Linked DNA regions of Pelodiscus sinensis. Each later gene encodes a partner of the first gene's protein in a complex. Links are inferred from orthologs where the notes say so. Each region holds a gene or a part of one and is shown on either strand. Other genes may lie near its edges.

Region 1 (8,092 bases):
CTCAGCAGTGCTGAGTGGCAATAGTGAATGAGTGAGAATGGCCCGGGATTGGCACACGTGGCAGTATTTCTCTGAGTGATTGCTGTAGCTACTGGAAGTAGGGACCGGTTCTGATCCCTGTAGACGTTTCAAGTGCTGCACGCTCAGACCTGTCCAGTGAAAGTAGCTGTAGAAACACTCTTGCTGCTTCACCAGTGTTCCATGCACACAGGCGAGCTCTCTCTCCAGCCAGCGGAAGCATACTGCAATCCATGGGAGCTGGGCTTCCTTTTGTAAGGGAAGCCTGGGTTTGATGAGCCTATCTAGTGAGGTCATGGCATGGATAACGTCTGTGAAATCGAGGACAGGCAAAGCAGCAGTCCCTGGGTTAGTAAAGAGAAGGTGGTTCTGACCTGTTTGCTGAATGTATTTTGTGTTTTCAGTTCAGCAGTGAAATCCAACAAAAAGGATTGAAATTAGGTGGGTTTTTTTGGGGGGGGGGTTAATGGTTTTTTTTAAAAGTGCTTCTAATGCATCAGATGTGAAGCAATGTACACAAAAAGGAAGGGTTCCTTACCAGTATGGGATTCTCTGGATGCATTGCCTCTGCAGTGAGCCAGGGAAGCCCATCAGAATGGCGAGAGAGATTAGTGGGTGTACATCACTTAGCCTCACACCATTCTGGAGCTAAGAGCACGTATGAAACCTTGCCCCAAGTCGTTTCTCAGTTCCTCGGAGGGTCTGTTTCTGGAAAGGGACGGTTAGCAGGAATCGGTTTAGAACTGAGGCGGTAATACATTCAGTGAAACACCTGTCACCTTCTCTTCTCCCACAACACTTCCTGTGCAAATCCCACTTTAGGAAACCAGTGAGCAGTCACAAAATTTGGGAGGCAGCCTGAGAAGTGCTAATTAGAGGTGGAAGTACTGCACGCCCACAGAGAGATCTGATCCAGCTTCCAGACTGCAGCCAGCTCTACACTGGACCTACAAGGTCGGTTTGAGGTATGCAACTCCAGCTGTGTAGAATACGTAGCTGGAGTGGGCTTACCTTAAGCCGAGCTTGGTATCGTCCACACGGCGGGAGGCTGATGGGAGCAAATACTCCCGTCAGCTTCCCTTCCTCCTTGCGATTGCGAGGAGCGCAGGTGCTGCCGCCCTCAGCATTTGATTTACGGGTCTAAATGGAACCTGCTACATCGAAGGCTGAGTGTCGATCTCGGGTGTGACGAGTGTTATCGTGCCCTGAGAGAAGAACATTTCAGAAAAGTCGAAAGGCAAGCTCGAGTAGCAGCGTAACAGGCTTAGGAACGGACGTTACTTATGCCCGTGCGGCTGCCTTTCCTCCGAGTCCGCCTGGCACTGAGATGACAGTTGGCTCATAAGAGCTGAATATACAACTTGCTCTCAGACAAATCACCTGATCTCTGTGCTCCCTAGCCTGTCAGTGGTGTGACTTGCAAATGCCATGGCTTCTCTACAGCAACCGAGCCTAGGATTTTTAGAGGCGCCTACAGGATTTAGATTAAGTGCGTTTTTAACATCCTACCTCTCCCACTTAGCATCGTTGTGAAGAGCAAGTGTCCCACCTAGTTAGAAAGAAGCCCGGGAACTGAGCAGACTTAAGAGGTAAAATTCTATATCCTTCCTGGGTGCATATACTGGGGAGAAGCCTGCAAAGCCACCTTCTCTCACTTGAAAAAAGTCTGCGAGGAGAAGCTAGAAGGACATTGTGTATCCTAGAGGTAACAGCCATTAGCAATGTACCCTTCAGGGAAATATCACGGAGAGAGCATAAGCTTAAACTCAAAAGGAGCTTCCAGAGGCTTGGTCAGAATTACATTCACATCTTACAGCGTTTTGAATCTATCGGGTGGTGGGTGTGGCGAGGGAGAGAGAGATCTCTATATCCCTATCCCTAGAGGCTTCCAATGAAACTAATGTTAGCAATATATGCATAACTTAGATGCTTGGTAGTTAGCTTGGCTTTGGTGCAATAGGTGCACCAAAATTTTTGTAGTACTACTTGTGTGTGAACGAGAGATGCCAAGTGCAGCAATCTGTTTAATGGAGGATGCAGAAAATCATGGAATTATTTGACATAGTGAGGATCCTCTCATATACCAGAGCGAAACAGAAACGAATACAAAAAGCTTCAATGGGTCTCAAATGGAATTCACCAGAAGACTTTTTAAAATCTGTCAAACTCCAGTCAGAGCAGATGTTGAAGTTACAGCACAGTGATCCCTGGCTCTCTTCTGTGGGGAAGGGGAGCTGTGTAAAAACTGGAAGCTCCTAGGAAGATGTACACTTCAGAATGAAATTAATGAGGGACTTTTCTTTCCACACAGACTTGTTTGTTCTGGGGCCTACCAAGCTGAAGCAGGCATATGGGACACTGCTGTCTTAGAAGCCCATTACAAGAAAAATGGTTGGTACTATCACCCTGGAAATGCCTTGTGCTTTGCAAGACAGGCAGAAAAGATCCATGTGGACTAAATTACATAGCCAGTCCACAGAAGGGAAGCTTTCCACAAATGTGATGACATCTTTATTTTTAGAGTTGTCTGACAAGGCTTTCCAGGAAAGTGATGTGCATGGGCTGGGCTTTGGATGGGTCTGATGAAATGCTTGTAGACTGAGGTTAGTGTTGTACAATGACAATTTCCTGGCTCTGGGTAGCACTGCTTCTCCCTGGGACGCTATGTTCTGAGTGCCATCTCTCCCTCCCTTCCTAGGGTTCATTTCTATTTTCTCTCTGCTTCCGTGCTTTTTTCCAAGGTTTCTTACTGTATAAAGCAGTGAGCAAATGTGAAATATGAGTGAATGAGATTATAAATATCACTCTAATATGTGTTCCTTGTGTTCTTATTTCATTGGTATTTATAGCCCTTGTTTTCCTCTGTACAATAGCAAAGAATCAGAACAGGTTAAATAACATGAGGAACATTGTAAAAGAGTGGACACATTCCAGGAATGTTTCCACTTCAAAACATAAGAATAGCTGCTGGAAGGTTTCGTGGACGGTAGCAGAACTTGTTCAGCCTCTTGGAGAAAAGGCTGAGCAGCTAGCAGCTCTCTCCTGCTGAATTTTCCTCACCATCCTGAGTAGAAGAGGGAGGGATGGAAATGCACAGAGCCTCTGGGCCGCTTCTGGCGTGTGCTTCCAGGCTCAGCACCTTCACTTCAGTACCTTGAATGTGATTTGTTGGTAAAGAGAGACTGTACCAAGCTTGTACGAGCTGTAAGATGCTACAGGCTGCATGTGCAGACAGCCCTCGGAAGGAGGGTGCAGTGTACCCTAGTGATCCATTAAGAGTCTGACTCCGTAAAGGCCCTTTCTTTGGTTATGCTGCTGTTCGAATGCCATGATGGGGGAGAAGAGAGAGCTGAATCTGATACCAGCTTGTGTTTTTTCTCAGTAACTGAGATTTGTAACTTCATTGCAATGATATGTTGTCTGTGTTCTATATATGAGCTTACGGGCAAGCTAGTTAGTACACAGGTCCTGTGTTTTTTCTGACACTAAAGACAAGCTGTTTCTCAGTTTGGCATCATTCTCAGGGTGGTTTCCTGAAAAAGAGAGGGGGAAGCTGATCCCTCAGCTTGGTGTGGTCCTTGATTTTTAGTAATTTTAGGGGTAAGAAATGCAACTCAGCAACCTTCATGCAGTTTAAATGCCTTGTGCTTTATGAAAAGGGGGAAAAAATAGCAGAGGTGGTGGGATAGGTAGTGGTGATGGGTCCCACTCCTGCATGCAGATAGGTCCCACTACCAGCTGTAAGGCATTATAGCCGCTTGCCAGGGCCTGGCTAGAAAAACTGAAGCCTAGTGCTCAGTGTGCCCAGGGCTGTCAGTCCGTCGCTGAGGACACAGGGGCCATGCAGGCAGGACCACGCTTGGGCCTGCTGGAGCTGATGCCTGAGCTGGCAGCAGCTGGGTCTCAGTGGGTAGGGTGTGTATGTTCCTCCTGCCCAGTGGGAGCACATCAGGGGGGAGGTTCCACCTGCCCTGCAGCAGCTTAGCCGGGGTTCCATGTGCCTCGTAGGAGCTCAGCTGGGGGAGGGGGGAAGAGTACCACATGCCCTGCGGGAGCTCGGGGAGGGGGGGGTTCCACGTGCCCTGTGGGAGTTCAGTAGGGAAGGTTCCACATGCCCTTCAGGAGCTCAGTGGTGGGGGTTCCACCTGTCCAACGGGAGTGTGTGTGTGGGGGGTGTTTTCCACATGACCTGGGGCAGCTCTGCCGGGGGTGAGATTCCCCATGCCCTGTGGGAGTCGGAGTGGGGTTTCCACATGCCCTGTGGGAGCTCAGCTGAGGTGGGGGTTCCACGTGCCCTGCGGGAGCCCGGGGGAGGGGAGGGTCCACGTGCCCTGCCGGAGCCGGGGGAGGGGAGGGTCCACGTGCCCTGCCGGAGCCGGGGGAGGGGAGGGTCCACGTGCCCTGCGGGAGCCCGGGGGAGGGGGGGTCCACGTGCCCTGCGGGAGCCGGGGGGGGGGGAGGATCCACGTGCCCTGCGGGAGCCCGGGGAGGGGGTCCACGTGCCCTGCGGGAACCGGGGGGGGGGGTCCACGTGCCCTGCGGGAGCCCGGGGGAGGGGGGGGTCCACGTGCCCCGCGGGAGCCCGGGGAGGGGGAGGATCCACGTGCCCTGCGGGAGCCCGGGGGAGGGGGAGGATCCACGTGCCCTGCGGGAGCCCGGGGGGGGGGGGGGTCCACGTGCCCTGCGGGAGCCCGGGGAGGGGGAGGATCCACGTGCCCTGCGGGAGCCCGGGGGGGGGTGTGTCCACGTGCCCCGCGGGAGCCGGGGGGGTCCACGTGCCCCGCGGGAGCCGGGGGGGTCCACGTGCCCCGCGGCCAGGCACTGGCTCTCGAGCGGCGGGGCAGCGCAGGCCGGGGGCGGTGGGGGCTCCCGCCGGCAGGGGGCGCTGCGGCGGCGGAAGCGGCGCGCCGCCCAGGCCGGAAGCGGAAGCGGCGGCTCATGAATATTCGGGCGCTCATTGACAGGCTAATGAGCGGCTGCATGCGGAATGAGGCGGGCGGGGCCTGCGCGGGGCGGTTGGGCGGCGGGGCCTGAGGAGCCGGCGGCGCCATGGAGGGCGGCGGGGGCCCGGCGCGCGGCGGCCGCGACAAGAAGAAGGGGAAGGGCCCGGAGGAGGCGGGGCCCGCGGACCCCGGGAAGTCCAAGAAATTCGTGAGTGGGGGAGGGGCCGCCGCGCGGAGCCCCCCCGGGCCGGGACACCCCCCCCGGGGCTGTGAGCCGGGACACCCCCCCCCCGGGTCCTCGAGCCCCCCCCCCCGGGGCTGTGAGCCGGGACACCCCCCCCCCCCCCCCCGGGCTCTCCCCGCCCCCCCCCCCCCCCCCCCGGGCAGAGCTTAGCGCGGGCCCCTCGCTGAGCCGGGACTCCGCCGGGCGCGGGCCGCTCCGGGGGGAGCTCAGGCCGCGAAGGAAACGCCCCGCAGCCCGGGGAGCCCCGCCGAGGGGAGCGGGCGGTGCCGCACACTGCGCTGCTCAGCCCCCGCTCTGCACCCTTGGGCAGGAAGCGAAGGGACGGGCCTTGGGCGGGCGCTGCAATGCTTCCAGCTGGAGTCACTTGAAACGTTTGTGGGACGTTTAATCGTTCGTGTCTGTTGTAAGTCTCTGAGGCAAAGAGCGCGTGAGGAGGTTTCTTTTTCTCTGAGGCCCTGGCTGCTGCGGGATGCAAAGAACCGGTATTGGCAGCCTGCAGTCCATGGACCACCTGAGGCCCATCAGAGTTGTGTGTGGAGTCCACAAGACATTGTGTTTTCTCTTGCCCATGTGCAGGGTTGCCAGAGTCCCTTGCTTTCCTGTCTGTATTACTCACATGACACACACACAAAGTCAGTGCACAGGAAGTGAGGCGTGTGCTGATTGCACACAACTTTGACTGCGAGAGCCGTGCACTCTCTTTGTATCCAATCACAGCGCTGCTTCGGTTCAGTCGGTACAGCCCGCAAATTCTAGGTACTCAGGCACAGTGAGCAAAACTAGCTTATCCCAGGAGATTGTCTTGGTTATGACAATCTTGTGTCCTACTGGGATGTAGGGCCACTCATGCGGCCCATTCACTAGCCTTGGTTGCCCATCACTGGATTAGAGGCTTGTTCTGGCTAAGAATCTGCTGTGTCTGTAGAAGGATGGAGCCAAGTTGGAGGTGATTCAGAGAAGAGCAGTCAGAATGATTGAGGGACTAGAGGCATTCGTCTGAGGAAAAATGAAGTGCCTGTAGTTAGGAATGTAAAAGTATAACCATTTAAACTGTTAATCATATTCACAGTAACATGGAGGCTCCCACCCCACTCCTGGACTGCAGGCAGGAGCCTGCTATCATCCTGCACTGCTGCTGCCTCTGATAGAAAGGTGGCAGCACGGGGGCGGGAGCCGCCTCCCCAGGAGTGGGGTGGTAGGCACTGCAGGTGCATGTAACTGCTGAGATTTTCAGTGATTACAGAATTACCTAATTACCCGCTTTTTAACATCCCTATCTGTAGTTCAGTGTGGGTGTGTAGCCACAAGGAGGGGGAATGATCCATACGATTATGAAGGATATAAGAAGAAATTGTGAACTATGGTTTAGTATGGAGAGAATAAAAGGAACACAGCTTCAAGAATGCAAATAAAACCAAACTCCCTTCCCTCGCTAACCATTGGAGAATATTTAAACTGGAATTTTAAAAAAAATACAATTTGCTTTTTATGTTTTTTGAATTATGTACAATCTCATTTTTAAGAATTAAAACTAAAACCAAGCTGCCTCTTTTCTTAAGGCGAAAGAAGACTGCATATCAGAAACCATTTGTTAATAAGACTTTTAGTCTATGAAATAGTCTTTAAGGTGCCACAGGACACCTTGTTTTTGCTGAAACAGATCAACACAGCTATCCCTCTGAAAGGAGTTCCAATTTGCATAGGTTTCACCACATTCCCCTGAGAGACTAACAGCTTTTGTGGGCTGGAGCCCATGCATCTGTCAAAGTGGGCTCCAACTCATGAAAGCTTATATCCAAATACATTTGCTAGTCTTCAAGGTGCCAAAGGATGACTTGTAAATTTGGACTATTGCTCAGGAGAAAATAGAGAACAGTTCTGAAGTGGCCTTTGAAGGAAAATGGGTCTGGGTTGGAAGCACAAATGGACATAGTTGCTTTAATAGCTTTTCTTAGGCTGTGTCTGCACTTGCACGTTGCTCCACAAAACTTGTTCATGGGTGCTTAAGCCCATTCTCCCCTCCCCTCATTGGCATTGGTGTGTGCCGACTTTTAGCAACAAGGCTGAGTCGACACAACCCTGTCGCAAAAAGCTGTGTAGTGTAGGTACATCCTCAGTCTTTACTTTTTTTTTTTTGCTTTTTGTGATTATATGGGCTCTTCCACCCCCTGCTTTGAGATGTAGAATAATTGTGTCAGGAGAGCTGGATTATTCCCTTTTACATTGTAGCTACACTTGCACTTGTTTGACACAACTTTTGTCATTCACAGGTGTTTAACAGCAATCATCTCCCCCTTTCCTCAGTGAATGACAAAGTTTTGCCCTGGCAAGTACGTGAACACTCCTGCTGACGGAGCAAAGCCTGGTCATTGGAGGTTAGAAGTGTTTTGTCAGGAAAAGTACTAAGAGTGTTCACACACACACACACTGGCTTTGAGACAGGGCTTTGTCGACACAGCCTTGTCTTTAAAAAGCTGCGTAGTGTAGAGATGGTGTCCCTGGCTTCTGTTTGTCTGGGAATGGGCGATGGAAGGGATCCCGTGAGGATTCTCTGTTGCATTTCCTCCCTCTGGGGCACCTGGTGTGGTCCTCAAGAACATAAGAACGGCCAGACTGGGTCAGACCAACGATCCATCTAGCCCAGTATCCTGTCTGCCGACAGTGGCCAGTGCCAGTGACCCAAAGGGGGTGGACCCAAGACAATGGTCAAGCAATTTGTCTCCTGCCATCCTTCTCCAGCTTTTGACAAACAGAGGCCAGAGGCACCATTCCTTACCCCCTGGTTAATAGCCTTTTATGGACCTAACCTCCATGAATTTATCTAGGTCTTTTTTAAACTCTGTTATAGTCCTAGCCTTCACAGCCTCCTCTGGCAAGGAGTTCCACA
Region 2 (7,179 bases), on another chromosome or scaffold:
AGGGGAACCCCGTCTCCACACTGAGTCCACTGCAGCCCCCGTGCCCTGGCCCAGCCCCCCCCCCCATCTCCCTTCCCCTGGCATTCGATGGTCACTGTCCGGACTTCTGGGATCCCCAGCCCTCGCCCTGACAGCCCCTCCTCCTCGTCTCCACCACCAGGTTTATGAGCAGCTCTATGACACGCTGGAGATCGCGGGCAGCGCCGAGATCCGGGCCCATGCCACGGCCAAGGTACTTCTGCCCCCTGAGATCTGGGCCTAGGTGTGCCCTGGGGACCCTCTGCCCCCGATATCTGGCCCAAGGTATTGTCCTGGACACCCCAAGATGTGGGCCGAGGTAACCCCCTCCCCCCAGGAATCCTGCCTCCTGGGTTTTGGGACCCTGTGAAATCGGAACCTAAGTAACCCCCTGGGAATCCCGACTCCCTCCCCACCGGAGACCCTCTGGCTCCTGGGATCTGGGCCTAGGTCCTGCCCCCCAGGGATCCGAGCTGCCCCTGAGGCCTGGGCCTAACCTTAGGGACTGGGGCAGAGGTGCGGGGCGTAGGGTCCCTCCGCCTGCCCCCCCCCCCCAGCACCCTGGGTCTCTGCCCGCAGGCCACGGTGGCGGCGTTCGCGGCAAGCGAGGGCCACGCCCACCCCCGGGTGGTGGAGCTGCCCAAGACGGACGAGGGGCTCGGGTTCAACATCATGGGCGGCAAGGAACAGAACTCACCCATCTACATCTCCCGCGTCATCCCTGGCGGCGTGGCCGACCGGCACGGAGGCCTCAAGCGGGGCGACCAGCTGCTGTCTGTCAACGGCGTGGTGAGCGGGGGAGCTCGGGGGCGGCTGGACTGAGGGCGCAGGGAAACTGAGGCAGCGAGCGGGGGAGGGCATCCGCGGCGGGAGCGTCCGTCCCCTCTGACCCTGCCACGTGTCCGTCTGTCCGGCGGTGCAGAGCGTGGAGGGGGAGCAGCACGAGAAGGCGGTGGAGCTGCTGAAGGCGGCGCAGGGCACCGTGAAGCTGGTCGTGCGCTACACGCCCAAGGTGCTGGAGGAGATGGAGGCCCGCTTCGAGAAGATGCGCACGGCCCGCCGGCGCCAGCAGCACCATAGCTACTCGTAAGGGCCCCCCGAGCCCCCCCTCACCCCCTGCAGGGGCCAGCAGTACCCACAGCTACTCATAAGAGCCCCCCAAACCCTCCAAATCCCCCTACATCACCAGTGGCACCGCAGCTATTTGTGAGGGAAGCTTCCCCCCAAGCTCCCCAACCGCCCCGATTCCTCCTCACATCCTCCCCAACCCCCCCACTGGCGCCAGCAGCACCACAGCTACTCGTAAGAGCCCCCCCCCACATTCCCCGCCACTGGCGCCAGCACCCTGCTACACCTAAGGGCCTCCCAAATCTCCCGGTACCAGCACCCCAAAATCTCGCTGCTCCCCCCGGTTTCTGCTGCGACTCATGTCTCCCTCTGTTCTCTCCCCAGGTCTCTGGAGTCGCGGGGATAACCCCTGTCAGGTCCCGTGCTGGGGAGGCTGGGCCCCCGCCCGGCCTCCCACATCTCCCCCCAGTTTTTCTGTGGAGCTGGGTCTATTTATCGGGACCACACCGGCCCTGCCGTGAACCGTATTTATTTATTCCCCTATTTAAAACTGCCCCTTGTGCGTGAGCCGGTGGGAATCCGGCACCCGAGACTCTGGTGGTCGGGGGGGGGGGGAGGGCTCTGCTGAAGGCAGGGAAGGGGGGGGAATCCCGGAGAAATGCACTGCCCCCAAACCACCCACTGTACGGGATTCGCCTTCACTTCCTGTCCCAAATTCTTGTGTGTCTTTGCCCCTCGACCCATCCCAGTGCCAAGCGAGGGGTCCCCGTGTGCCCAGCCCAGAGGGGCCGTGTCCCGGTGCTGGGCGAGGGGTCCGCGTCTGCCCTGTCCCTGCACCCCACCCCAGAAGGGCCCTGATCCAGTATGTGTTTATGGTGCAGTTCAGTGAGTGGCCACCAGGTGGCGAACTCGCTGCTTGGGGGGGTGGGGGATCACTGGGGTATGTCCTGTGTAGGGTGTTAGTGCCCCTCTCTCCGGCCAGCAGCTCGGCCCCGGCCCCCCACCCCTGCCGGTGCCCCTAGCTCCTGCCTCCAGCTCTGCTGGTGCCCCTCACTCCTGCCAGAAGCCCCTGCCCCCCCCAAGCTCTGTCCCCCCAGCCCTGCTGGTGCCCCTCACTCCCAACCTGCAGCATCATTTCTGGTCCCTGACATCCCCCATAGCTCCCTTCTCCTGCCCCTTCCAGGGCAGGTGGGGCTGAGCTCCCTGCCTGCTCCCCAGGTGAGCTGGGGGTGGGAAATGGAGCTTGGGAATCAGGGATGCGCCCCTCCCTCAGTGAGTCACCCCCCTCAAGTCTGTTTTTCTGGTTTGGCTGCTGAGTCTGCCAGGGAACTACAAGGGTGAGATTCCCAGGGAGGGAGTCAGAGGGTGCGGCTGGGAGCCAGGACTCCTGGGTTCTCTCTTGGCTCTGGGAGGGGAGTGGAGGCTAGTGGTTAGAGCAGGGGGGGGTGCTGAGAGCCAGGACTCCTGGGTTCTCTCTTGGCTCTGGGAGGGGAGTGGAGGCTAGTGGTTAGAGCAGGGGGGGTGCTGAGAGCCAGGACTCCTGGGTTCTCTCTTGGCTCTGGGAGGGGAGTGGAGGCTAGTGGTTAGAGCAGGGGGGGGTGCTGGGAGCCAGGACTCCTGGGTTCTCTCTTGGCTCTGGGAGGGGAGTGGAGGCTAGTGGTTAGAGCAGGGGGGTGCTGGGAGCCAGGACTCCTGGGTTCTCTCTTGGCTCTGGGAGGGAAGGGGAGCCAACGGGTGCCTCCCGCTCTCAGTCCCTGCTGTCTGTCCCTCTTCCAGTCACAAACGTTCGTGCCCTTTGCTGCGGCTCCCGCCTCTGCTGGAAGAAGGGGGGGCTGCCTGACTGTGAATAAAACGATGCGACTGAGTCTGGGGTGTGCATGTCTGTGTCCTTTGTGCCTCGATCCCGGGGTGGCCGCAGTCCCTGCTCGCGGAGCATGACCCCCAGGGGGCAAAGGGGGACTCGCTGGGGCGAGTGGAGAGGTGATTTCACTTCTGGCTCTGGCTGTGGGGCAGCCGCTCCCGCTGTGTGGGGAAGGGATGTTTGCTCCAGGCTCTGTCCGTCTGCCTGCGGCAGGGCTAACGCCATCCTCGGCCCCAGTGTAGAATCAGGTAGCTAATGAGGTGGCCGTTTTTCCCAGACCAGGAGGTTGTTCCCTAGCTTGCTCCCCGGACCCTGGGGGAGCTGCCTCCGGTGGGCTGACAGCCCTGCCCTGGGCCACACAGGAGCCAACTCAGGGCTGGGGGGGTGAGGGCCACAGCCAGGTGGTCCTAGGCAGGGGGAGGTTTCTGGGGTTCATGGAGTTAGCAAGGAGAGGGCATGGAGCTGGGGGGCCCTCCCTCCCTGGTCCCCCACCGTGGGGCGGAGAGAAACCCAACCCCCCGGGGACCTGACCCTGCGGGGCCAGGCTGGTACCCACACAGCGGTGTTTCCAGGGATGCTGGCTCGGGGGCAGGAAGTGCAATGTGGGGCAAGCCCTCCCCCCCCCCCCCGGGTGGGTTGGACAGGCTGGTGCTACCTGCCTCCACCCTAGAACCATCCCCCAATCTTTGCACCCCCTAGGCAGCCTGCCCCAAGTTTGCTGGGACAATTCCCTGGGGGGGGGAGGTTTCCCAGAGCAGGGGACTGGAGCAATTCGGGGGGGGGATAATTCCCGGGGGGATGCATTTCCTGGAGGGGGGGCTGGGATAATTCCCGGGGGGATGCATTTCCTGGAGGGGGGGGCTGGGATAATTCCCGGGGGGGATGCATTTCCCCAGGGGGCGGGGTTGGGGCAATTCCCCGGCGTGTGATTTGCCCCTATGCCCCCCTCCCGCCCGCCGCACACCGGATGACATCATCCTAAAAGTGAGCCCCGCCTCCCGGACTCCCTCATTGGCTCCCCCGCCCGGCAGCCCCTCAGCCATTGGCCGCCGGACCCCGGCGCTCGGAGCCGCCCCCTCCCACCCCCGCGCCTGGGAGGGACTTTGCGGCCGCCCCGGGCTCTGGCGGCCGCCCATTGGCGAGGCGGCCCGTCCTTCAGGGTTCCCTTAAAGGGGCCGGCGCCGGAGAGGCGGGGCGGGGGGCGGCGCGGAGGGGCCGGGAGCCGCGTCCGGCCGGGCTCCGGCAGCGCGGGGCGGGGGAGGGGCGCGACCCCCGGGCGTCCGCCGGCTCCGCAGCATCGGCACCGGCCGCCGCAGGTACGTCCCTGCCCTCCCCCCCTCCATCCCTGCCCTGCATCTCCACCTCCTCCCCCAATGCACCCTCCCAGTCCTGCACCCCTCCCCCTCCATCCCCTGCCTGCATCTGCACCCCTCCCCAATGCACCCTCAGCCCTGCACCCCCCCCTCCATCCCCTGCCTGCATCTGCACCCCTCCCCAATGCACCCCCCAGCCCTGCACCCATCCCCAATGCACCCTCAGCCCTGCACCCCCCTCCATCCCCTGCCTGCATCTGCACCCCTCCCCAATGCACCCTCAGCCCTGCACCCCCCCATCCCCTGCCTGCATCTGCACCCCTCCCCAATGCACCCCCCAGCCCTGCACCCCTCCTCCTCCATCCCCTGCCTGCATCTGCACCCCTCCCCAATGCACCCTCAGCCCTGCACCCCCCCTCCATCCCCTGCCTGCATCTGCACCCCTCCCCCGCATGAACCCCCCCAAGCCCAGCCATCTCCCTCCACCGCCCCACTTCATCTCCTCCCATCCCCCCAGTCGGGCACCCCCCACGGTGCAAGTCAAGCCTCTCCCCCCTGTATACACCCCTCGATCTGCACCCCCGGCCCTTCTCCCCTCTCCCAGCCACGCACCCCCCCCTTGAACCACCCTGGCCATGCATCTCCACCGCTCCCCTCATCTCCCATGCCTGCCCCCCCCAGCCTGCAGATGCACCCCATCCCGCTGCGTCCTCCGGAGCTCAGCCCTGCGCCCCCCATGGCCTGTCCCCTCCCCCAGCGCACATCGGCCCCCATCCCCCGACGTGCACCTGCTTCCCCCCCCCCCCCATGCACCCCTCGGCTGCTGCCGGTAGGAGCCGGGACAGCTCCCTGCCCCCCTCCCCCACTGGCCTCCGCAGCATCAGACTCGCGGCGCTGCAGGTAGGAGCCGGGCCGTCCCCCGCCCCCGCCCCCAGCCCCTGCCCGGCCCCTGCCCTCCCCCCTTGCCCGGCCCCCCCCCACTTTCCCCAGCCCCGCTCCCTAGCGCCCTGCCCCCCAACGCAGCCATCCTCCTGTGTGCACCCCCCTCCCGCTGCCTTCTCTGACCCCCTCCAGCCTCTGTCTGCCCCCCATACTGCCCCCGGGGGCCCTGTGTCTCCCTCCATGGATGGGGGGCTGGCTCTCTGGGGGACCCTCTGTCCCATTGCAGGAGAAATCTACAGGGAGGGGGCAAGGCAGCTGGACCTTGTGGGGGGGGGGGGGGACGATCCCAGCTGATTCTGCGGGGGGGGGGATGCTTCAAGGGGGCTGGACAGCTCCTCCACCCTTCCCCCAACTGCATTGTGTTCCTTGGGGGTGGGGTGGGGAGAGGCCCCCCCCCACTTGGATTCTTCACTCCTCTGGGTCAGAGCTGCCCCCCTCCACGGATCCACCCTCAGGGAGGGCCTCAGCTCCGCAGGAGTATGTGGGGGGGGTGACCCCAAAGTTTGTGGGGGCACAAACCTCCTGATCCCTTCCCAGCGGATGCCAAACAGGGCTGCAAGGTCCAGCCTGGGGGGGGGGGGCATGGAGACACGCATGTAACGCTGCCCATGCAGCCCCCTTCGGCCCTGCCATGCACGGATGTCGCCGGTGCCCCCTTGCCCTGGCTGCCCCATGTGAGCCAGGCAGGCGTGGGACAGGCATGTAACCGTACACGCGTGTGCCGGGGCACCCTCCACTGGGGCTGGGAGTGTGGCTGAACCCCTGGGGGCATCCGGCTCTGTGTCCCCAGGTGGGGGCCATGGGGGAAGGGAGAGTAGGGGGTCAGCGTGTTGGGGCGTGTGTTGGCGTGTGTCTGTGCACAGGTACCATCTGAGTGTGTCTGGGCATGGGGGTGAGGGGCACCAGTCTCGTCGCTGTCTATAAATAACCCAGACGAGGGAGGTGTCTGCAGGCACAGGCCCTGCGAAGAGGAGGGGGCTGTGTGTGTGTGTGTGTGTGTGTGTGTGTGTGTGTGTGTGTGTGTGTTGGGGTATTGCTCTTTGCCTGGGTGTTGCAGGGTCTTTGCACCTTGTACTTGTTGCATTGTGGGTAGGTGTTGCGTTGTCGGCAGCATTGTGTTGTGTGTAGCACTGGGCGTGTTGCATTATGGGTGGGTGTTGCAACGGGTATTGCTAGTGCAGTGTGCTGTAAACTGTAGCGTGTGTGTGTTGTGTTATTGTATTGCAGGTGTGGGTTGTTGCATCATGGCTGTGTGTAGCATTGTGTTGGTAGTGTATGTTGCTGTGCATATGTGTGTGGTGTTGTCTCACTGTTGCATTATGGGTAGATGGCATGCTGTGGCATACATTTTGTGTATTGCATTGTATTAGTAGCACGTATTGCTGTGTGTGTTGCATTCTCACACTAGTGCTTTATGTGCAGGTGTTGCATTGTCTGTAGCATGTTGCATTATGTGTATGTTGTGGCACGTGTGTCGCACGGTTGCACTGGGATGGTGTGTTGTGTGTGTCGCAGAGTTGCACTGAGGCGCTGTGGTGTGTTGTGTTTGTTGTGTGTGTTGCGGGGTTGCACTGTGGGTGGCTGTTACATTGTCCCTGTAGAATGTGGTGTTTATGTTGTAACGTGTGTTGCCCGGTTGCACTGGGGCGCTGTGGTGCGTTGTGTGTGTGGCGGGGTTGTACTGGGATGGTGTGTTGTATGTGTGGCGGGGTTGCACTGGGGCGCTGTGTTGTGTTGTGTGTGTGGCGGGGTTGCACTGGGATGGTGTGTTGTGTTGTGTGTGTGGCGGGGTTGTACTGGGGCGCTGTGTTGTGTTGTGTGTGTTGCGGGGTTGTACTGGGGCACTGTGTTGCGTTGTGTGTGTTGCGGGGTTGCACTGGGATGGTGTGTTGTGTGTGTGGCGGGGTTGCACTGGGGCGCTGTGTTGCGTTGTGTGTGTGGCGGGGTTGCACTGGGATGGTGTGTTGTGTGTGTGGC

The links. Proteins that work in one complex are often made in the same cells at the same time.
Region 2: the proteins of DIAPH1 (region 1) and PPFIA3 are in contact, whole or in part, in a crystal structure (PDB 4UWX), measured with the Mus musculus proteins. The link is inferred for Pelodiscus sinensis from reciprocal best matches to the Homo sapiens genes DIAPH1 and PPFIA3. Residues at the interface, in NP_031884.1 of Mus musculus: Lys252, Ser255, Ala256, Ile259, Gln307, Asn310, Ala311, Thr314, Pro315, Ala316, Glu317, Arg322, Gln352, Cys354, Val355, Glu358, Gln359, Glu362; in NP_084017.2 of Mus musculus: Pro719, Arg720, Arg723, Leu724, Arg726, Met727, Ala728, Ala730, Leu731.

Annotation. Positions count from the first base shown.
Region 1 is NC_134727.1:1,073,469-1,081,560, forward strand, and holds the start of DIAPH1 (protein diaphanous homolog 1), read left to right. Parts: upstream 1-5,007; 5' UTR 5,008-5,067; coding exon 5,068-5,169; intron 5,170-8,092. UniProt on the Homo sapiens protein: Actin nucleation and elongation factor required for the assembly of F-actin structures, such as actin cables and stress fibers. Binds to the barbed end of the actin filament and slows down actin polymerization and depolymerization.
Region 2 is NW_027465870.1:75,866-83,044, forward strand, and holds the start of PPFIA3 (liprin-alpha-3), read left to right. Parts: upstream 1-4,124; 5' UTR 4,125-4,263; intron 4,264-7,179. Other genes in the region: LIN7B (protein lin-7 homolog B), read left to right, coding at 161-232, 598-807, 941-1,104, 1,471-1,492. UniProt on the Homo sapiens protein: May regulate the disassembly of focal adhesions. May localize receptor-like tyrosine phosphatases type 2A at specific sites on the plasma membrane, possibly regulating their interaction with the extracellular environment and their association with substrates.